Lonchura striata: one gene and its partners. The main gene of each other region encodes a partner of the protein of the gene in region 3 in a complex. Links are inferred from orthologs where the notes say so. Each region holds a gene or a part of one and is shown on either strand. Other genes may lie near its edges.

The links.
Region 1: the proteins of NRP1 (region 3) and PLXNA2 are in contact, whole or in part, in a crystal structure (PDB 4GZA), measured with the Mus musculus proteins. The link is inferred for Lonchura striata from reciprocal best matches to the Homo sapiens genes NRP1 and PLXNA2. Residues at the interface, in NP_032763.2 of Mus musculus: Glu78, Arg80, Asp81, Lys83, Tyr84, Asp126, Tyr127, Glu128, Thr129; in NP_032908.2 of Mus musculus: Asp273, Leu274, Phe275, Glu306, Lys341, Gly342, Gln343, Lys344, Gln345, His348, Pro350.
Region 2: the proteins of NRP1 (region 3) and PLXNA4 are in contact, whole or in part, in a cryo-EM structure (PDB 7M0R), measured with the Mus musculus proteins. The link is inferred for Lonchura striata from reciprocal best matches to the Homo sapiens genes NRP1 and PLXNA4. Residues at the interface, in NP_032763.2 of Mus musculus: Arg80, Tyr84, Asp126, Tyr127, Glu128; in NP_786926.2 of Mus musculus: Glu272, Lys340, Lys343, Lys345, Leu349.

Annotation. Positions count from the first base shown.
Region 1 is NC_134632.1:5,093,447-5,101,163, reverse strand, and holds the start of PLXNA2 (plexin-A2), read left to right. Parts: upstream 1-4,677; 5' UTR 4,678-4,799; intron 4,800-7,717. UniProt on the Homo sapiens protein: Coreceptor for SEMA3A and SEMA6A. Necessary for signaling by SEMA6A and class 3 semaphorins and subsequent remodeling of the cytoskeleton. Plays a role in axon guidance, invasive growth and cell migration.
Region 2 is NC_134607.1:70,815,098-70,822,995, reverse strand, and holds the start of PLXNA4 (plexin-A4), read left to right. Parts: upstream 1-4,843; 5' UTR 4,844-5,121; intron 5,122-7,898. UniProt on the Homo sapiens protein: Coreceptor for SEMA3A. Necessary for signaling by class 3 semaphorins and subsequent remodeling of the cytoskeleton. Plays a role in axon guidance in the developing nervous system. Class 3 semaphorins bind to a complex composed of a neuropilin and a plexin.
Region 3 is NC_134603.1:142,990,983-142,998,266, reverse strand, and holds the start of NRP1 (neuropilin-1), read left to right. Parts: upstream 1-4,226; 5' UTR 4,227-4,349; intron 4,350-4,678; 5' UTR 4,679-4,933; coding exon 4,934-5,000; intron 5,001-7,284. UniProt on the Homo sapiens protein: Cell-surface receptor involved in the development of the cardiovascular system, in angiogenesis, in the formation of certain neuronal circuits and in organogenesis outside the nervous system. Mediates the chemorepulsant activity of semaphorins.

The DNA of each region.
Region 1 (7,717 bases), on a different chromosome or scaffold from region 3:
CAGCCTCTGGGGAGGGGGAGGCAGCAGAGGGGAGCCCCGGAGGGTGCCAGGGCTGCAGCCCAGCCTGCTTCTCTCTGCCCCGGGCACCGAGAGAGCTGCAAGGAGCTGCTGGAGAAGCAGGTGAGATGGAAATTCGGGGGAAATGGAAGGGTTGGTGCCCTTGAAGTTTTCTTCTTTTGTTGTTTTTATCTCTGTTCTTTGTGATGGTAACAAACTGAAAACGGTGTTGAAAGTGAGTTTGTGCCTGTTCTGCCTTTGTCTGGTACTGGCTGAGCTACCTGAAGAGAAGGAGTTTTATAAACTTCTGGGCTTGTGTTTGACTGTGAGCATCCCCCTCCCTTTCCTAAGAATCCTGGAAAGAGTCTGGAGCAACGTGCGTTCCTCCATCACTTCCAGAAGCTGTGCAGAATTTGCAGCAACAGATTAACACTGCCAGAGCCACAAATCAAAGGATTTCCAGTTCCACCCCGCTCCCACCTATTATGCAGGGGGAGAAAAAAAATCTCCATCTCCTCAGACAAGAGGGAAAAAAAAAAGAGATGAAATTAGGGTTTAAAATCATTTAGGTTTGCATTTCATTCCGTTCGGCGCTGTCAGTGATACACAGCGCCTGCAGAAGAATTAGAAAGATTATTGTGGAAGGGAAGGCAGAGCCACAGCGTGCTTGACAATATGCTCTGTATTTTACCTTCATTAGGACAGGGAGCTTGAAATACTCATTTCTTTATGATGAAGGAACTAAAGATTTCCAATGAGCGCAGAGCAGGGAGCGGGCAGGGGAGATTTATTGCTAAAGCATGTTTTTAATCACAGCAAGCACCTGAGCGAAATTGTGGAGATGCTTCTGCCCCAAGACACCCCTTCAGTGAGCTGGGGGAGGGAATTCCCCCCTGCAGGGGAATTCAGCCGGCCCTGAGGAAATTCAGACAGAGATTTTGGGGAGCCCCAGTCAGAGCCCTGGAAAAGCTCCCTTTGCACCCCTCCAGAGGGGACAGCGGTGTCACCACGGGCCCTGCTGCCTTTGGGGTCTTTGTGCACGTGTGGACACTCCTTCATTAGGGGCCAATAATTAACTCCTCACCCCCTTTGACCCCAGCCCCGGGCTGGAGGGGCTGCCCAGCCCTGAGCGCCCCTGGGAGGCTCCAGCAAAGCCAGTCCTGGCCTCAGGCACTGTCCAGCAGCTGGAGGGGCCCTGCTGGGGCAGGGCAGCACAGCTGGATCGGGGTCAGCACAGCTGGATTGGGTCACAGCTGGGATGGGAATGTTCCAAAAGCCATGGATGGATGCCCAGTCCCATGGCCTGCTCTGGGGAAGGCTCAGCTCCCCGCTCTCAGCCCCTGTGCCCGCTCTCTGGGGCAGCCCTGGGCTCACGGGACACTCTGGGGACACTCTGGGGACACTCTGGGGACACTTTGGAACACAGCTGTGCTTCAGAGGGGCACCAGAGGCCACGGGGGCTGCCAGCCCCTCCAGGTGACCTTTCCTCGGCCGCTTCGTTGGCTTGTGACCGAGGTGGGAGCCTCTCCCTGCTCCTGGCAGGGGAAACGCAAGGATGCAGCAAATATTTATTTAAAAAGAGGTGGGAGTGGTGTGCAGAGCTTGGGTCACGCTGAGGAGCCAAGGGAAGGAGAGGAGAAGGTGACACCGTCACTCCTGGTACGGGCCAGCCTGGCCAATGTTTTCATGTTGTATTTGATTTTTGAACATCACTAAATATTGCTGAGTTCTTTCCAGGGTTATTTTTGTGCTCTCCTCTGTATGATCCCCTTTCTTTCAGCTCTCAGCTGTGGGAAGATGATTAAAAATGGCACATTGTCTGCACCTGGAATTCCTGACACAACCCCGGCACAGGCAATTGTGTTTCTGACAGTAACAAGACACTCTGGAACTCAGGATCCGGAGACTTTCTGTTCTCCTGCCCTTGCACTTAATGAAACCAGAGTTTGTTTGAGAAAGAAAAACCCAGAGTTAATTTCAGCTCAGCTCAAACCAGGGGATCCGGAGGCAGGAGCTGGAGCTCGGAGTTATGGGAAAATCCGAGGAGAGGAAGGGATAAGGAGCGCTAGGAAAAGAAAAATCCTTTTCATTTCCCAAGAAGACATGATGAACAGCAGAGAGAGAAAAAAAATCACTTGACAAGGTTCTTCTAAAGAGGAAGAATAGTGCAAAGTGCTGGTTAAATTCCCATTGATCCTTCACTCAGCTTCCCATATACACATGGGTTTGACTACTTGATACTTCCTTTCACTGTCATAAGTAATAACCGAGGGGAAACAATCATTTCTAAATAACTGCCTATGATTCTTCTATTGTAGTGATTAGCGCTGAATAATTATTAGCTGCGCTGGGTTTCTGCGGGGCTGGGCGGCAGCGGGAGCTGCCGGCGCCTATAGACGGTGCCTATAGATGGTGCTCTCGGCCTCGCACAGCCGCTCCACGCCGAAAAATGCGCCTGGATGGGCTCCCCGTGTCCCAAACCCCCCGGCAATGGGGGAAAAGGCTCTTTTCCCTGCGCTGTTTCCCTGCCGTGCTTGTCTGGGAAGCCACGACTCTGTTCTATTGCCCTGGGGATGGCAAAGGTGGAGCAAAGGCTGATTTGGGGTCTGGGCAGGGAGGGAAGAGCCCGAGGTGGTGTCCAAAGCTGGGTACCGGCGCTTCCAGGAGTGTGGAGCCAGGCTTGGAAGTCCTGATAGACACACCCGTGACTGGTCAGAGACACTCCTGACCTGGTCAGAGATACCTGTGACTGGTCAGAGACACTCCTGACCTGGTCAGAGACACCCATGACTGGTCAGAGACACCCGTGACTGGTCAGACACACCCGTGACTGGTCAGAGATACCCATGACTGGTCAGAGACACCCGTGACTGGTCAGACACACTCCTGACTTGGTCAGACACACCCGTGACCCAGGGGCTCCCAGCAGAGCCTGCTCTCCCCCTGCTGCTTTGCTCCCCAGCCCGGCAATGCTGGGATGATCAGCTGGGAGCAGCCTGTGATTCCAGGAGCACAGTGACCATCAGTAAATGATAAACAGGAGGCAGGCTGCAGACACGGGCCTGCAGAGAGGAGGGGAAGGGCTGCTGAGATGCGCTGCCCTGCCCTGTGGGGCTCTCACGAGGAGCTGCTTGGTGGGATGTGATTCACCCAAAGCTGGCTTTGCTGGGGGCTTGGTTCCGTTCGTGGGAGCTTGCAGCACAGGAGCTGCTCTGGGAACGGGCTGGCAGAGAGAAAAGCTTGCTCAGGAACCGATGCTGCCATCCTCTGAGTGCCCGCTGCTGCCTCTCCCCAGCTCAGCAGCTGCAGCCTGGAGACCTCTCCCGGCTCCAAGGGGATCCTGAATCCTCTGCAGGGGCAAAGAGCAAAGCCAACCCCAGCCGGGACCTTTGCCACCCAAAACTGCTCTTGCAGGGCCTTGCTGAGGTGCACCAGGCAGGGAACTGCTGTGGCCATGGTGACAGCAGTGAGGGTGACACAGGCTGGGCTGGAGGGGAGCTCTGAGAGGAAATTGGGGTGGTTCCGTCACTCAGGTTTGTTGTGGACGAGGCCCAGGATGATGGCTCTGATTTTCTCTTGCAACTGTCCCAATGTGTAACAGAAAAATGGTTACAAAACTCCTGATGACAAGATCCGAACAGCAATCCATCATGGTATTGATCCCCTCCACCAGCTGCTCTGCTCGGAATCATTCCCAGAGCCTGGCTGGCTCAGGGTCAGGGTCAGCCGGGCCGTGGTGCTCCTGCCTTTCAGGAGCAGTGTCCTGCTGTGGCACTGCCACTGCCTTCTCTTCCCTGGCTCCAGGTGCTCCAGACCCCTGTGGGCTGCAGCAGGCGGCCAGAGGGGTGTGAGGTGCTGGAAGATGCTCCTCCCTTTGGGTACCCTGCAGCTTCCAGGGGTTTCTCCGTGTGCAGAGGCAGCAGCCAAGGCCAGGTCGTGGCTCCGTGGCTGAAGCACTCGAGCCCAAGGAGGGGTTCTGTGGCTCCCAGTGGGTGGTCACAGGGCTCCCTGTCCCAGCTGGCCACGGCCACTGTGGTTGGCTTCTGGCAGATTTTGGCAGGAGCTGTTGGGGTCAGTGGCTTCAGGGGCATTGCAGCACATGCCCACCTCTAGCTGTGCTGGAGGTGACCCGCCCTTGGCAGAAAACCAGGCTGCCAGCCCTTGCAGAGACGGGGAAACTGAGGAATGGAGCGCTCAGGCGTCACTCCTGCCACCAGAACTGGAGCCGAGGGGTGCTCTGAGCGGGGGGCAGAGCCGGGGGCAGAACCTGCCGGCTCCGTTCCTGTCCCTGCAGCCCCCCCGAGGCGGGGCAGCTGCGGGGCAGCTGCGGGGCAGCTGCGGGGCTCTCCGGGCGCAGCTGTGCCGGGCCGGCCGCGCAGCCCCGCGCAGCCCCGGGCGCTCCGGGCTTTGTTCCAGCGCCGAGCCGCTCCCCGGGCGCGGCTCCGCGGGACACGGCGGCGCAGGTGAGGTGGGCAGGGGGTGCGAGCGGCGCTGCCGGCGCCCCGGCTGCGGAAGGGTTAACGCGGGAGCGCGCCCGGGAGCGCGCCCGGGCGGGCGGCGGGAGGTGCCGGGGCGGGCGCAGCGCAGCCGAGCCGCGCTCGCCGCACTCGGGCAGCGGCTGCGGAGGCGATGAGAGGCCGGCGGGGCTGAGCCGAGCCGAGCCGCGCCGCGCCGCGCCGGGGGAGCCGGAGGGGCTGCGGGCAGCGGCGGCCGCCCGGCCCCGGATTTCCATGGTGCCGGGGGCCGCCGGCATCCCCCCGCCCTGAGCCGGGAGGCGGGCGGCACCGGAGCGCCGAGGGCTGGTGAGTGGCGGCGGATGGCGAGGGGCTGCTGCCCGCCGGGGTGCGGGGGTCCCCGGGGTGGGGGTTCCGCCGGAGGATGCGGGGAGGAGGCGCGGGATCGCTGTCGCCGTGCCGCCCGCAGCTGCCCGAGCCGGCTGGCACCGGGGCTGCGGGTGGCACCGGGGGCTGCGGGTGGCACCGGGGGCTGCGGGTGGCACCGGGGCTGCAGAGCGCGGGGTGGTGCCCGGCGGCTCCGGCCCCGGCCGTGCCCGCGGAGCAGCGCGGAGATGCCGGCGGTGCCTGGGGAAGGGATGGAGGAACCGCTCCGGTTCCAGGGAATGCAGCGCCCGCCGCCTCCCCGGGCTGCTCCGCGCTCCCGTTACACATCGCTGTCTCCTCGTTAATTCTGCGGCCGCTCGGTACCGCTCAGTCGCGGTCTGGAGCCAACGCAGCGGGATAAATTCACCCCCATAAAAAGTTCCTGTTAGCAAGGAGCCACTTTTTTGGAAAACACCCCCGAATCTTAGGGGAAAAGACATAAAATCCCCGCTAAAACTTTCCTAAATCCGCGCGAGACCCTTTTTGGAAGGTGGTGAGGGGAGAGATACCGAGTGCACTTGTGCTCCCTCGGGAAATCCCAGCTCCCGGGTGATGGCCCCGCTCTCCGCGGCCCGGGGCTCCCGGGGGTGTCGGGGCTGCCCCGGTGAGCCGTCCTCGCCGGTGTGACCTCCGTTTAACCCGGCACGGTCACGCATTCCCGGCTTTGTCTCCATTCACGCTACGGCCAATACTCGCACGTTCCTGGAGGTGAAGTGAGTGATGTTCAATTAATCTGTGTTCTAAGGGGTATCAGAAAGTCAATAGGTTAATTTTAAGCGAGGTGAATAGTAAGTGGCAGAGGGAAAAGATCCCCTGTGCGTCCGTGAGCAGCAGCTGAGGCTTGGAGGTGAGGGAACGCGAAGTTCTCAGAGTGCCATGATGTGAAACCACTGCTCGGAGGCTGCTCCTGCTCTTTGCTGGGCACTTGATGCTTCACTGGTGGCTTCGAGGTGCTTGGCAGACCTGGGCTGAGCTGGGGACGTGGTCCTGTCCCCCTGCTCTGGATGGCTTCATTGATAACGGTGACTAAAGTGAAATGAGATGACCTACTTACAGCTGAGGGACAGATGCCTCGCAAGAATCTGTGCCAGCCTCGGAACAGATGTTTGGCTTTTTACCTTTAACACAGAGGTGTTAGATCCTTTAGAACTCAATAGGGCTCTTTTTTTTGGTCTTTATTGCCGTCCTTGTGCCATTTGTTGTCACTTTGAGGACCCTCGGAGCTCAAAGGTGGGATTCTGGGGTGGTGCCGGGGACCAGATAAAGCAGCTCTGACTCGAGAATCTCGGTGCGAGCAGCGGGGGACGTGACCCAACGGTGTCACTTGTGCAAAGCCTTATCAGGCAAGGCAGCCATCCCTGCCGACTCTCCCACCGCATCCCCAGCGCTTGTGGCAAGAAGATAAAGCAACCCAATTTACTCCTCTCTGTCTTTATGGTGCCGTTTGATGCAATTAATTGTGGAGGTTCCCCCTCCCGGCTCAGAAGGAGTCGGTGCGGTGGATCAGGTAACACAGGAGCTGCACAGAACCCACCGCGGATGGGAGCAGCTCTGCCTCGTTCCTCGGTTAACCCTGAGCTCCCTGCGCTGAGAACTCCGGCGGGCTGCGGGAGGGAAACTGAGGCACGTTCTGCCCGCGGGACCGGAGAGGGGAGGGCCGGCTGCTCCTGCCCCGCGCTCTTTAACTCTCCTCAGCAAATTGCGTTAGGACGTGACAAATTGGCCCGCGAAGCAGCTAAATGGAGATGACATTTGGAGCAGTTTGCCGGCAGCCCCTCTGCAGTGGCAGGGAAATGTGCGATTTGCAGGCTCTGCCCCACATCTCCCATTTAGGCACCGCCACGAGGCTTTCCAGAACTTACTCAGGGAACTCCTGGTGCAGCCAAATGTGGGAGTCTCGAGCATGCCTGGGAAAGGTTGCCCAAAAGCTAGGGCAGATGTAGGTGCAGACTGTCTCATGCCGTGGGCAGCTGAGATGAGGAGCTGAACCGGGAGAGAAAGCAAAGCCGGAATTTAGAAACTGCGTGAGTGGTGAGCAGCTGAAGGTGGGAAGCTGGGCTGGCTGCTGGGTGCCAGCGTGACGCTCTGCTGGGGTGCAGGGGCACCTCTGCCCACTGATGGGTGATCCTGGGGTGCAGGGGCACCTCTGCTCATGATCCTGGGGTGCAGGGGCACCTCTGCCCACTGATAGGTGATCCTGGGGGTGCGGGAGCACCTCTGCCCACTGGTGGGTGATCCTGGGGGTGCAGGGACAACTCTGCTCGTGATCCTGGGGTGCAGGAACACCTCTGCTCCCCGAAGGATGATCCTGAGGTGCAGGGACACCTCTGCTCACTGATGGGTGATCCTGGGGTGCAGGGACACCTCTGCTCACTGATAGGTGATCCTGGGGGTGCAGGGACACCTCTGCTCACTGATGGGTGATCCTGGGGTGCAGGGACACCTCTGCTCACTGATGGGTGATCCTGGGGTGCAGGGGCACCTCTGCCCACTGATGGATGATCCTGAGGTGCAGGGGCACCTCTGCTCATGATCCTGGGGTGCAGGGGCACCTCTGCTCATGATCCTGGGGTGCAGGGACACCTCTGCTCACTGATGGATGATCCTGAGGTGCAAGGGCACCTCTGCCCACTGATGGGTGATCCTGGGGTGCAGGGGCACCTCTGCTCACTGATGGGTGATCCTGGGGTGCAGGGACACCTCTGCTCACTGATGGGTGATCCTGGGGGTGCAGGGGCACCTCTGCTCGAGATCCTGAGGTGCAGGGGCACCTCTGCTCCCCGAGGGATGATCCTGAGGTGCAGGGACACCTCTGCTCACTGATGGGTGATCCTGGGGTG
Region 2 (7,898 bases), on a different chromosome or scaffold from region 3:
TCCACCTGCCCCTCTCCCCTGTCCCTCCTCCCGCTGTTTTGTTTGGACAAATGACAGCCTGGGTGTGACCAGAGGCGATAATGGTCTGCAAATATTTGAAGGGGGAAGGAGAAAAATTGTCCCTGGGGGAGTTTGAACGGGGGAGGGCAAGGAGGGCAAGGGGAGGGTTGGGGATGGAAGATGTGCAGATGATGCTGTCCAGCTGAGTACATCATAAATCCCCTCTGGGTGGGTGGGTGGGATGGGCAATGAGCATCTCTCACAGCCCTGCCTCTGCTGGGAAGGGCAGATCCTCTGTGGAAGTGGCACTTCGCTGGGGAGGTTGGAGTTGGAGCAGGGGGGTGGAGAAGAGGGAATGGGAAGGGAGAAAACAGGAATGAAATTGCAGCCAAGAGGGGAAACTTGGGCTGGAAGCTCTGGAAATCTTCCTGTAACTTGAGGGGTTGGTGAGCTGGTGTCTGAATGCAGGTGCTAACAGGGACCGGAGCACACACTGATGGGAAGGAGCTCTGGAGAGGGAGGGGACAGCCACACCCTGCAGGTCTGTCTCCTGTGGATTGCTGCATTTGACCCTGGGACAACATAGAAGGAGATTTTGCTTCCCTCAATAACATCCAAAGAAGTGGTAAAAAAAAAAAAAAAAAAAAAAAAAAGAAGGCAAACCTTGCCTCTGTTTGACATTTCATTGTGCCTGTTGAAGGGCTGGGAAGAGGGAGACGCTGGATAACTGCTACAATTTTTATTTATAAATATCCTCCTGAAAAATCTGCCCCAGAAAATATCCCTGCAAAGGCTGGCAGGGGAGTTAAGGAGAGACTGGCAGGGAGTTGCCAGAGGCAGTGACAGGAGAAAGGGCTCGTGGCTCCCCTCTGCTCCATGCCAGGACACCCTGGGCTTCTCCGAGAATCCAGTGTGCAAAACCCCCAAGGCTCCAAGGAAATGCTGGACAAAGCACAGAGGGTGGCTGAGATGGACCCTCCCAAGAGCTTTTTTTTTTTCCATCCATCACCCAAAATTAGTTGCAACGATGCTGCAAAAAATGTTTGGGCAAGGCAAGGTGACCAAGTGGCACAATCCTGCTCTTCCCTGCAAACTTCTTCTCATACATTATTTTTGGGGTAGCACTGTTATCTCATTTTCCATCAGCACAACCCTTCCTGAAGCTGGCAGCACTGCCAAAATCCGAGAGAGTGACACCCCCTGAAGCCAAGAACTGCTCCTAGGGGCAGAGCTCACCCTGTCCCTCCCCGGGGTGTCACAGTGACCACGCAGAGCCCCGGCCCAGCTTTAAACCAGCTCGCACAGAATTTCCCACCCTCCTGAGCACGATAAAGACATCCTTTGTCAGCAGCAGGGATGGTGACAGCTGCCCAGGAGAGACCAATTTTCTTTCGTCTATCAACAGACAGGGGCAAGTTAGAAGGACTTTAAAGAGCAGAGGGAAGAAGGGGGTAAAAAAGAGACGTGGAGGAATAAGATTTTGAGTTAGCAGCCCTCTCCCCGGGCTGGTTTTTTACGGTTTGGGGGATTTTGCAGCTGCCACCAAGCGCGGTCGCTGCAGGTGGCGCTGCGATGTTGGGTTTGAGCGCTCGTTCAGCCCGGAGCTGCAGCAGCTTGCGGCCACTTAAACACCGCGCTGCTTTAACAAACTTGTAAAATGGCGGGGGGAAAGAATAATAGAAAAAACCCCGCACAATCTAACTTAGATTTCCTTTCTCTCTCTCTCTCTCCCTTTTTTATTTTTATTTTTTAATTTTAAAAAATTTATTTTCTTGTTTTCTTCTTTCTCCTAATGGGCTCGTCCTCTGTTGTTGGAGTCTTCAAGTGTACAGGTGGATGGTGCTGGCAAAAATAGGTGTTTTCTGTTCTTTGGGTGTTGATGGAAGTGACTCCTGTGTGCCACTGTGTGTGGCTCAGGTAATAAGGTAAGAAAAGAAAGGATTCATCAGTGAGGGAGGAAGCACAGAGGGATTCAGGGAGGCTGCTGGCACCCAGGACTTCAGGGGCAATGGGGGATCTTTAGGGGCAGTGGGAGGGAAATCAGCTGTGTGAGATTGTTTGGATGGAGATGAGGATTTTGCCTCATCCCGGATGATGCTGAGGCAGCTCTGATCCCGCTTGGTTTTCCCCCTGGAGCAGAGCAGGGGGTGCCCAGCACCTCTCTGTGAGAGGGAAAATATCCACTGGGTGACACCAGGGTGAGCCTGAGCCCTCCTTGTCCTTGGGCCCTTTTGCTGTAGAAATTCACAGGTCAGGGGAGGTCATTTGGGTTTTCCAGCCCTAACCCTTTTCCGCCCCCGCTGCCCGGTTCATGAAAAGGCCTATAAATAAAGTCTCATTTGTCACTCCCTCCTTCATGAACCCAAACAGCTCGGGCATCTATTGACTCGTGCCATTGTCTTAAGAAGCAGAAAGAACTGGTATTAATTTCTTCCTCCCCACCAGCTAGCGGGAAGCAATCTGGGCATATCCAGATTATCCGTGTTTAGCGGGACAGGTTTTAAACGCGAGACCGAATTTCCTTGAGGTTTTCATATGTTTTTATTAAATGGAGCTGCGAGGCAGGCTGGACACTCAATAATACTGTAGCACTCAGAGCAGCAGTGATCTTTAGAGGTTACTAACCTGCCATTGTATCTCTCAGATTCCTGTCTCGCTCCTCCGTTGTCATTTCGCTGTGTTATTACTCTTCAGGCTTCACATCGTATTCATTTCTCTGAATGAAAACAAATGACTCCTTGCGAGAGGTAGGAGATAAAGAATAATAAATACATTTTATGCACCACCTTAAAAAAAAAAATAAAAAAAAAATAAAAAAAAGGGCTCTGAATCTCCATCCATCCATCAGGAAATGTAAACCGGAGCTCAGGCAAAACACACACACAGGCGCGCTCACAGGCACGCGCCGGGGAGATAAAACTTGTTTTAAGGAAAACATGATATTGTTTCTAAATAAATAGCTTGGAGGATGCAAATAGACAGCCCCCGGCCCCCGTGCTTTGTGGCATAAATTTAAGATAATTAAAAATACTAAGCTCGGATTAAGCCTGATTTTCTGTCAATGGTGGAGGCTGTGGGGAGGAGGAGGAGGGGGAGTCCTGCTGTGTTTGGTGCTGCACAACCCCTGGAGAGGCAATTCCTGCCTCTGATCTCAGCTATGGATTTCCGTGGGTGCTGGGACCCCCTTTCCCAGGCACCCCCTGCATCCCTGCCGGATGCCTTTGCCTTCTGCTGGGAAAGGGGAATCTGCAGGGTCACTTGCAGAGTTTTCTCCCCGGCCTGAGCATGGCCAATCCCCCCGAAAGCAGAGGGGATCTCCCCCAGCTGCTTCTCCTCTTCTTCAGACCTTTGTGAGGCGCCCATCCTGAGGAAATCGGGGCTCCCTGGGGAGCAGCCCTGTTGCTACCAACACCCTGAGAGCATCCCTGCCCTTCCCAGCACCTGCTGCCTGCCCCGGGGCTGCCCCTGGCATCACCTCCAGGGAGGAGCGCGGGTCTCACTCACGGAATGAACTTTTGGGGTGGGGTCTGCCCCCCGGCAGCCTGGGGGACACCAAACTCATGCAGCTTCTAAAAAATACATTTATTCCTGCGGCTGCCCGGAATTACAGGGATCCCGGGCCAGGGGAGCAGCTTGCAGCCGCTCTCCGGGATTATTGCTCACCCGAGCTGAGAGATTGATCTGCCCCTGAGCCTCCCCACGCCCGCTCTGATCCGCTCCCCTCCGCGCTGGCTCCAAGCCGGAGGGGAGCAGCAGGGCACAGCCCGGAGAGGGAAGAGAAGGCAGGGAAAAGAGAAGGGAAATGCCAACCAAAGCCTTTTCTGAGGAGGAGCAGATGGGGGCAGGCAGCGAGATGCGGTTGGTTCCGTAAGTGCGTTTTGGGTTTTATTATATTTTTTTTTTTTTTTTTGGGGGGGGGGGGTGGAGGGGGGGATGGCAGAGACGTTTCCCAATTAGCCCAATCAGGCTGGAGATCCTAGGTGTCAGTAGTGAGTAGGAGCGAGGGAAGGCACCGGAGGAGGAGGAATCCAGGCAGCCGCGGAGTTGCAGCCCTGGGAGAGCGGCGGCGGCAGCCCCGGGAGGCGGCCCCGCTCCCCTCCCCGTCCCCATCCCTATCCCCATCCCCTGCAAACTTTAGGACGACGAAAAGCGCCTTGGGGGACCCCCTCCAGAGACAACCTGCGCTCCTCCGCCTTCTCCCCTCTGCCGGAGGTGGGTGGGCTGGAGAAAGGAGGAGCAACCGGCCACTCTCTCTGCAAAGCTAAAAAAATATATATATATATAGGAAAGAAAGAGAAAAAGGATAGAAAGGGATTTTTATTATCGCTTCGATTTTTTATTAATTATTTTTTATTATCCCTCCCCCGTGCATTGGGCTGCTGTTGCCACAGCACTTCTACACCTCTCCGGTTATTTTATTTTTTTTTTTTTTTTTTTTTTTTCGGAAAGGGGTGTGTGCCTTTGCGTGTGCCTGTGTTTGCAAAAGAGCCTGGGTGTCCAAGCCGGCTCCGCAGCCACCATTGGAGAGGAGGGCTGGGGAGGAAGGGCTGGCTGGCGAGACAGCCGCAGTGCGAGCCCTCCCCGGCGGGCGGGAGGCCGCGGAGCCGGGCATGGCCCCGTAGCGCATCCCCTGCCTGCATCCCCCTGCCTGCATCCCCCTGCCTGCATCCCCCTGCCTGCAGCCCCCTGCCTGCAGCCCCGCTGCCCGGCTCCCCCCACTCCTGGCTGGTCTAGAGGCGGGGGGGTGGGGGGGAAGGGCTGGGGGAGGGAGGGAGGGAGGGGAGGGAAGGGGTGATTTGGGGGGGGGGAGTGAAAACTGGAGCTGCGTTTACCCCCCCTCCCCCCCATTCTCCCCCCACCCCGGCTCTGGGCGAGCCAGACACGGTTTGCCCAGTGCAGAGAGAGGGGCTCCGTGTTCCGCCTCCGTGGAGTATTTGGGATTGGAGAGAGGCACACACGCGCACACACACACACGCACACAGAGACCATCTGCAGTGTCAATGCGGCGCCTGCTCTGAAGACTGAAGTGGGGGGAAAGGAGAGGAGAGAAATTTAATATATATATATAGATATATATATATACACCAAAACCCACCCAAAGCAAGCGAGGAGCATTCCCAGGTAAGGAGCCTCCCGCCCCGCCCGGGTAGCGGGGGCTGCGGGAGGATGCCCCGGAGGATGCCCCGGAGGATGCCCCGGGAGGGCTGGCGGGGCTGCAGCGGTACCTGCCCTCCACACCTGGCGGCAGTGGAGGGGGGGCTCTGGGAGGCGCTGCTCCCCATCCCCGGGTCTCGGGAAGGGGGTCTGGGATGGAGGACAGGGACCCCCGCGGACAGCGGGCTGAGCCGGTGGGTTCGGGCACGGCCCCTCCGCTCCTCCCGGCCCGGTTTGGGAGGATGCTGGGCGGGGGGCCGCGGCGGGGAGCCCCCCTTCTCCACATCCCCAGCGCGGAGGGGACGCGGTGGCCGGTGTCCCCCTTTCCCGAGTCCCCGATGGCTTTTTCCCCATGCACAAGGCTCAACTTTTCTCCCCGGAGGTAGCGGCTCAGCCCGTCCCTCATCACCCTCGGCATCCCCCGGCTGCGGGTTTTCCTCCTCTCGGGGGGTATTTTCCCCCTTCGATGCTCCACAGCTCTCCTCGGGCGAGGGGCTGGAGGCATTTGCAAACTTTTCCTGCTCCCGGTGAGGATGGAGCTGGACGGGGCTGGAGGCAGAGCCCTATTCCCGGGGAGGATAACACCTCCCCATCCCCGATGGATGGGGACAGGGGCCAGCCCCGGTGGCGAACACCTAACAGGGAAGGGCAGACCCCCGTCTCTTCCCTTTCTGCAAGGTGCTGGAGAGTTTTCCTGCCCAAATCCCGGCTGCGGAGTCAGCGCTGCTGAACCTCCCTCCTTTCCCTCGGTGCATGTGCGTGCTGCAAGCGAAACCTGCGTATCGATGCTCTGCGTTTATCACACATATGCCCTTAAATTATGTAGACCGGGAGAAGTGATCTAAACACCGAGCCGCGCGTTGTTTTGGTGGAAATCCACGTTGTTTTGGTGGAAATCTGATACTCCGGCAGCAGCTGAGTTCCTCGCAGACAAACAAACCCGCTTGCTCAGCCCCAGCAGGGCTGTTTGGGTTTGTAGCGGCTGCTCCATCCCCAGCCCGGAGGAAATCCTCCTCCCGGGGCTCCATCTGCTCCCCGTGCCGGGAAGGGATGCGGCGTTCGCCGTGCTGGATGCGGGGGTAGGACCCGCAGGGTTCGCCCTGGTGGGAAGGACCCGCTGGAAGGCGTGTGGCTCTCCCGAAAAACTTCCACACCCCTCGCTGCTTCCCAACGCAGCCGTGCGGGAGAGCTCGCTGGAAGCGCACCTGATTGTCCACGGCTTCCCTCCGCTGCCGGGAGGCGATGCCTGGGAAGAGAAATTTTGGGAAAAGCGAGGGGAATCTGGAGCTCCCCGAGTCCTGGGGGTGAGTGGTGCAGAGGGGAGGTTCGCACCGGGACCCCCGATGCTGCCGGGGGATGCTCTCGTTCCCTGGGAACAATGACGGTGCCAGGGGGTTTTTACAGCCGATACGAGCTGCTCGCAGCCTTCTAGGGACTCGTGTTGAGCGTGCACAGATATTTTGGAGGGCGGAAAGCGTGCTAACTTGTTTTCTCTACCTGCCCTCTGTTTCACCCGGGTGCTGCTTGTAGAAATCCGCGAGCGGGCAGGACCAGCGGGGCACGGGGGGCACGGGGGGCACGGGGGGCACGGGCTTTGGCGTCTCTGTGATTTTTATTACGGCGTGTGCCTCCCAGCGTGGGATTAGGTGCTTCCTAAGCCTCTGGCTGGAGGTGCAGGGGATGCGAGCAGCGTTTTGCTTGTGGTATTTTATTTTATTTTATTTTATTTTAATTTTTTGCCTGGGGAAGTGCGTGCTTGTGTGTTTGTTTGTTTGTTTGTTTGTGTGTGTGGGATCCTTCGCTAAGCCGGGCTTCAAGCGGTGCAACAGATGTGTGTGTGTTCGCTTCGCGTGTGCAGCCAGGTTTAAACACGCAACCCCAGCTCCGGCACGAAAACCTGGGGCTTTTCTCCCCTCCTCTGCCCAGACCCACCCTCCATGGGGGTGTCTCCTTCCCGAAAGGACCACTCCAAGGCTTCTTCTCTCTCTGTCCCATCCTAAATGTGTGGCGCTCGGCGGTATGGATACCACGCGAAATAAATGACAACCGCATGATCTAAGCGTTGTTTATGTCCAAGACGGGTGTTTTAGAAGCCGGGCTGATAATCAATCACGGTGCTGTAGGCAAGATTTGCTTGATGATCGTAACTGCCTGGCAGGCACCGAGGGCTGGTGTCAAACGCGCCGTGCGCGCAGCCCGGCTGGGGAGGGACGCTGCCAGCCCGAAGGGAGATGCTGAACTTCTCCGCGGGGAGAGGGAATATTTGAGCTTTTCCTCAGCGGATTCACCTGGCAGCATCCCTCCCTGCAGCGCAGAGAGCCTGGCTCTCGGCAGCCGCTGGGTGAGGCAAAGCGAAGGGCTGAGCAGAGGCAGGGGAGCGGCGGAGCTGCGCTGCCGGCAGGGCAGGAGCGTCTGTGGCAGCCCCATCCCGGGGGGCTCTGGCTTGCCGGAGCCGCTTTCATATCAATTCCTCCACTTTCGCAAGCTTGAGGAGGGGGAGGAGAGATGCCGGCGCCCCTTTTGTGCTGCATCTTTTTCCTTTTACTGAACCGCTTTGTCTCTGCCTCCCGATGCCGAGGGGTTGCAGTCAAACCCAGCTCCCTCTCGCCGTGCCGGGGCTGGATTCGTGTGGAGAGCCTGGCCAAGATCTTACGATGCTCGGGGTGTGCTGAGGGTTAACGCCGTGTGGGAATCGGTTTCTTGTGAGGAAGGGAGCCCTGAGCAGTTCCCGCAAAGCTGAGAAG
Region 3 (7,284 bases):
ATAAAAGATGCAGGAGATAAAAGGGCTGAGAGAGGAAAGATATAGACAAGGTAAAATGTATGTCTGATCTTAAAGATAAGGGTAAATAGCTTTGGTTCAGTACAGTAAGCAACAGGAAGCCAAGTAGTGATTCATATGGCCAAAACAACAGAAGAGGTGATGACACAGAAGCCTAGTTTTGGAGAGATTATTGGGGAAGATAAGTGAAAAAAAAATAAAAAAGAAAACATTAGAGAAAAGGATATAAATGAGCACCACACTGTATATGAAGATATTAGTAGACACAGTCATAAAGCAAACATATTTTTATTCTGCACTAAATACTCACAGGAAGTCTCCATTTTCAGGCTTTTAATATTATGGATGAGTTTAATTTGTTGTGTTTCTTTTTCAAAATAATACCAAATAAATGTGTCTTCAGCCATTGATTAATCATTTGCCAAACTTAGTTTTTAATTAAATGTGCTATGTGAGTACATAAAGGAATAAACATCAAAGTTGCTCCCTTCTGCTATTGTTAAAATGGGAAAATGTTTTTTTCCTTTGGAATTTTAAGTTTTATATTACATGATTTAGCCCAAGGCAAATATTTTTTTATGACTGAATTATAAACTTCTTGAGAAACAGGTTTATAACAGAAGTGCAGACAATCTTCAAAAAAGCATTATAAACACCAAGTCAAATAATGAAGCAAAAATGGGCCTGAACCCAAACCCCAAAGCTAGCCACTCCATTAACTTTTACATACATTGGATTCAGATTCAGTCTTTGTAGCACTAACTCATCCTTGCCATAAAATCCCATTACTGATGTGAAAATGGAGAGCTGAACAAATGTGTAAGCAGTTGCAGGATCAGGACCTAAAATTCCATGACTAAATAGTGAGAAGTGGATTATAAAAAGAGACTTCTGAATGTTTCATTTGATGCCAGTTTATATTCAAGATTATTAAAGATTAAACATTTTCAGGTAAATACACATAAACCAAGGATAGAATGTCTTCACTCTTCATTCCAGGGCAATTCATACATGGAAGAAAATTGTGCTTATATCCATGAATGAGAGAGAAAAAGATGGGTGGAAAAATTAGAGTAGTGTCATTCATGTTATGGTAAGGAAGGACATTAACGTACCAGACTCTGGTATATTTTCTAGGCCTTGAGATACCAACAGGAAAATAAATTAATAGATAAATAAATAAAGTCCCATTGTGGAATCCATAATGCCCACACAGTGCTGAGGAAGGGCAGAAATCCTCTTTTATAGGCCATATTAGCCCCAACAGAGGCCATTCCTGTTCAGATGTCTTTGCAGCCTGTTGCACATCTCTCTCTCTGCAAGAAAAGGAAGCACTGATATTTGAAACATAAGAATATTGAAATAAACCTTGGTATATGGATTAGTGATTACAGGTTAGGCCCAGGTGATAAAAGCAACTTTCATCATTATCTTACAAATTACCACATTGTGCCATCTTCCTTAGCGTACATGTTCTGTCTACATTTGTTTTCTTCCAGAGAAAGGAATTTCTTTAAAATTCACCAGCTACTAAAAAAATCTATGTCTATATCCGCAAAAAGTAATTTATTAATCCAATAGAAAAAAAAAATGGATGAAACACAGCGGCTGTTTGGTTGGATGGTTGGTTGGTTGGTTGGTTGGTTGGTTGGTTGGTTGGTTTGGAGGACCAAACCAACCAACAGCATACAGCATACAGCTGACAATGCTTATTTTCTTTCTGCAGATTCCTAGAAATCACCTGACAGACAATGCTAATCCCAAAGCAAGAGGGCCATCACTGTCATACAGTAAGTGCATTTTTTGATGTACATGCTTTCTGGGTATCTGTCACTTAGAGAATTAATATTGGTTTCTGAAACATGTTTTAAAACAAACATGTATATATATATATATTTGTGCAAACCCTTAGTAAGCAGGTCATTTCTGTTTTCAAAAATAGATTTACTTTATTTTAGAGGCTATATTGCTCAAACAGTCAAACTATGATCAGGTCAGAACCCATTTATCTCAAGGACTGTCCAGCAGAATGAGTTTTAATAATCAGAAAGCACTGTTAACTCTCCCCTTCCCCTGTGTTCTGGGAATGTCTCTAAAAGAAAAAAAAATAAAGGGGGCTTAATGTGCTACCCATAAAATATACATCCCAATCAATCAGGAAAATGCATAAGTATTGCAAATGATGATCCAGAGACTGCCTAAAGATGGGGAAATGAGACTGAACCCAATAACTCAATCTGACTAGTTCCAGCCTGCCTGTTTCTAGCCTGCCTGCAGACACAGGCATGGGCAGAAGCAGGGTCATGGGCAGGGGCAGAAGCAGAAGCCGACAAAGGAAAGAATTAAGTGTACAGAGAGTATAACAGGATCAAACTGCATTTTAGTGCACAATATTAGGGAATTGTAATCACGGAAGAGAAGGGGAATGTCTGGAAAACACTCAGAAAGTAGTGGTGAGAGAGTGTGCAGTATGAAACCAGCAGACAGATTTCCTACAGACTTAATCTCCAGACTTCAGCTGACCTTAAACTCAGGGCTTCAAAAGGGCAGCAAGAGAGTGAGAGTAGAAATCTCAGACTCAGAGCTAGAGACAAAGGAGGAGGCTGGATTTGTGTTTCCGTACACAGATGTAACACATTTGTAGTAAATCTGTGTGGCTGTAGACAACTATGTTTGAAAACTATTTCAAATAGGGCTATATCATCAGAATGGACAGCAGTTTACTGCCATGGCTACACTTGGAGGACGACCCTCTCCTCAGCAAAATCCAGCACTTTTCCCACTGCATCCTTTAGAAAAACTCCTTATGGAGTAGGTCTTCTATCAGGCCTTTTTCCTGATGAAGCATTAACAGAGTTTGCCTTGACTGTGCCACAGTAACAAATTGTTTTCAAACTGCCCTGGGACATGACAGTGGCTGACATCCACCACTGGCTGCAGGTAATTTTCCTAGCACAGACCCATCTTTGGGGGCCATTTAATACTGTGTTTCAGCTTTCAGCCTTGGAGCTCTTCCTGTAACCCCTACCCCAGCGACTCGATTGGCCTCACCATAGAGGGTGTGCAAAGTAAAAAAGCAGTTGGGTTCAGCAAGGTGATCACTCCCCAGGTGCAGGGACAGCCGGTAAGGCAGGGCAACAGGGCAAGGAAGAGACAGGGTCCATAGGTGGTGAGCACCAGACCGTGCAGCCAAAGCAGTAGGATTCAGAGCCCGCTATGTCCCCGCTTTGTTCCGTTCCTCTGGTGCCAGTGGTGGTGGAGGGGAGAATGCTCAGGAGGAGACACGCACTCCCCAGTGGGGATTTCATGCTGCACAGCCTCCTTCGGGAGCAGAGCCGGCCCTGGGGACCCCAGCAGCTCCTCAGCCCCTCAAGAGGCTTCAGACAGACTGAGACGGGCAAAGCTGCAACAGGAGCTGAGAGAGCAAGAGTGGGTGAGAAGGGAGGTGGGAAAAGGGTCGGAAGGGAGGGGAATACGGGGACGTCTCCCCTTGCAGATATGGAGTGGCCAGATGAGCCTGACACCTGGTGGGTCCTGGCAGCTCACCCCACATCAGCACAGCCTGCTTCCTCTAGGACAAGAAGGGACGGTGGGGGAAGCATCAGCAGTGGGACGAAGTCCCACTGGGGACTTCGAGGGACACGTATTCTCACACGAAACAAAAAAAAAGAGTGTTGGAAGGGGGAGAAGGCGGCGGAGGAGGGAAGGGTGGCAGAGGGGATGGCCCGGGAAGGGACGGGGCAGGGTTCCCACGGGGTACCCGAGGCGAGCGAGCCGGGAGGTGGGCAGGGGTGGGTGCGTGTGTGCGTGTCTGTGTGTGGGGCCGGGCGGCAGGCACGGCACGGCAGGGCACGGCAGGGCACGGCAGGGCAGGGCCGGGCAGGGCAGGGCCGGGCAGGGCTGCGCGGGGCCGCAGGAGCCGCGGGGCGGCGGGCGCAGGTGGTGCCGCCGCCCGCATCGGCTCTACCTGCCCTGGCGGGGACCGCCGCCTCTCGCCACCCCTCTGCTCCTCGCGTTCCCCCTCGCCAGTCCCCGCCTCGGCTGAGCGCCAGAGCCGGGGCTTGCCGTGTTTGTTTGTTCTTTCTTCCGCGCTGCCGATGTCTTGGGGGGCTGAGAAAGAGGAGGAGGAGGAGGAGAAGGAGGAGGGCGGGGAGGGGGAGGGGACTGGGGCTTGGGAGACGGCGGTTCCTCGGCCTCTCTTATTGCCGCTGAGTTGCGCTCCTCTTCCTCAGGCTGCGAGCAGGAGCCGCCCGGGCGCTTCCCACTTCCCCGGCCGGCCGGCAGTCCCTGCTGCGGCAGCGCGCTCGCTCGCTCGCCTCCCGCCGGGGCAGGTGAGTGCGGGCACGGCCGGGCACGGCCGGGCACCGCCGGGCACCGCCGGGCACCGCGCCCCGGAGCTCCGCGGCTGCGGCCCCGCGGGAGCCGCGGCCGCTGGAGAGCGGGGCAGGCAGGGGGGAAGCAGTTTGCCAAACTCCAGCGCCCGGCTGGTCTCCGCCCACGGCCCCTTTCCCTTCCTTATCTCCCCTCCGCAGAGCCCCTCGCCCAGCAGAGCGCTCCCGAGGTGTCGGCAGCCGCCAGTATTTTTTAATCTGTCTTGTTTGTGTGTTTGTTGGGTTTTGTTTTCGTTATTTTTTCCCCTCGTTTTCATTTGGCTTTCTAGTCTCGCTGGGAATGGCAAAGGCAGCCGCGCCTGGAGAAGGAACAAGTGTGGGGAAAGAGAGAGGGAGCCGGAGCTAAATGACAGGATGCGGGCGGCTTGAGGCACAGAGAGAAGCCAGCCTCCTTCTGTCCCCGAGACTGCCCCTGCGGACCGTGCTTTCTGCTCCTCACTCCGGCTGGAGGATTTAAAGAAGAGTTGTGCGTGGAAGGCATTTTTATTTTTTTTTTCCTCCTTTCCCTGCTGTCGGAAGGGAAAATGGATTGGGGACTTCTCCTACACTGTGCAGCCCTCACCTTCACCCTCGCCAGGGCTCTGCGGAGCGGTGAGTGTCACGGGGGACGCTGGGTCTCAGCTCGGGCGGTGCGGGGCCGGGCTCCGGGGCTGCCGGCGCGGGGGGCGGGCGGCGGTGCCCGGCGGGCCGTGGGACCGGCACCGACACAAACCCGGCTGGGGGAACTTTCTGCCGGAGGAGGGATGCAGCGCAGTCCTCGTCTGAGGGTCGCCCTCCCCGTCATTGCTTTCCGACTTTATTTTCTGCTTTCTTGGGTTATTGTATAAAGCAGGCTGCTCATTCTCACTAGGTAGGACAGCCAATTATCTTAATAATGTCCCGTCCCATAGGCCATTAAACGCCTCTCCTTCGATATCTGAAAGATAATGAACACCTTAAAGGGAAGGCTCTCTTCCCCTCCCGCCCTTTCTGTTTTCCAAAGCGTAGAATTTTAGATCATGCCTCCTACTAGCTGTGTGTGTACCTGCGAATAGTCTTCACACAGAGAACTCTCTAGAGTACCCCTTTCCCAAGTCTGCAGTTTACATGCAACTTACACTGTGCCAAGAGAGGAGCTGAGCTTCTCTGTGAAGGCTCGAGACCGCCTTCCAAGAGGAGAAATCACATAACAAATGAGTGGTGTGGCTAGTTTACTGTCAGGCAACCCTTGAAAACACAACTAATTAAAAGCGGCGTGCTCCTCCTTCCCCGAACAATGCCAGGGCACTGTAAATGTTCCACTGCATGATGCATTTTTAAAGATGGTCTAATTGTGGGACTGCCTGACATTTAGCTCTTGCACATGAAACAGTTAACGTGAATCTTCCTTTCCTGACAAATCCTGAGCAATTATTATTAACTAATTATCAAATATTTACTTTTGTCTGACTGGGTTTTCAATCAGAGTAATTAAAAGAAGAGAGCAGCCTCCACTTACACTGGTATATTGTTTTAATAAGGGACTGCAAGTGGAGTGTCAAGCAAGAATATTAAAATCACATGTTTTATGATAGAAGTTAATCTGTTTCCCAATATGTTTCGAGGACGCTGCTTAGTTTAATCAGGACGAGCTTCCTCCTCCAGTGCTGTGGCACAGGAGCAAAGGTGCTAGAGGGGTGCACCAAGCCTGATGTGGGGATGCTCCGAGAGGTGCACTTTGCTCATCCCCCAGCCCAGCTCGGGGTGTGGACAGCTGCCTCCCACACAGACCCATACTGCCACCCTGTACCTCTGAGGGACAGTAGGGGCCACCCCCATGCTCTTGTTGATCATTTCTCCCTGTGAAGAGGAGGAGAGTGGTTAACGTGGTGGTCCTGCTGGAGTCACCAAGGCCATTAACCTCCTCTGCAACCTACCGGACCTACTAATGCCACCTTCACCTACATGCAGTATTAGTGTCCACTAAATTAATTCATTAACCTTATTTGGAACTAATGGTCCAAAGTCATTAGAAACTGCTCTTCTTAATCAAGTGTGAGAGAGATTGCACAGAGCCAAGGAGTCTAGCAGACCGCATTATCTTATTACACTGTCACTTTCCCAGAAGTCGCAGATTAAGGAGCGCTGGTGGTAGTGAGTCCACCTCAGCGTCCTCTGAAGTGACTCTGTCAAGTGACTAGAAGCAGCACTGCTTTATTTCAAGTATTTAACAAATGCCAGACCCTGCCATGTTTGCAGGGCTGGAGTGGGCTTAATGAGACAAGATCACTTTCTGAGTATGCTTACACAGGGAGGAAAAGGCAAGATTCCCTGAGAGCCCCAGACAGCGGATTAGCAAGATCACCAGTGACAGCTTTTGAGCTTTAAGCACCAATGCCTTTTGTTCTGGTCAGGGGAAAACAGCCTGTTTGCAAAGGCACAGCAGAAATATAATAAGATAGCCTTTCCCAGTGACATGCTTGGCAGTATCTGGGTTTTGACCATACATCCGAGTACCTATCAATCCCTTCCCTCCTAATTTATGGCAAATAATTTCTATAAAGAGTGTTGCTTTATGCATTTTTGATGTGTGCTTCCTCATTCATTTCCATTTGACCTGTTTTTTTTCCTACAATAAAATCCTGTATATTTATAAATTCATGCTGAGAGCAAGGATTGCCATTTTGCTTTCACAGGGAATGTATTAGATAGAGCACAGCAGCCTGTATATATACCATTATTGAAATGTAGTGATATATAGTCTTGCTTTAGTGGGGACATTCTTCCTTTCCATAGTTTACTGTCATGTTTTATTGATCAAAATTAAACAACCAACACTTGGAAAAAGTTTTTCCCACCTGAAGATCCACAGAAAGAAATCCATAGTAGTAAAAAAGTGATAACACAAACCTGCACT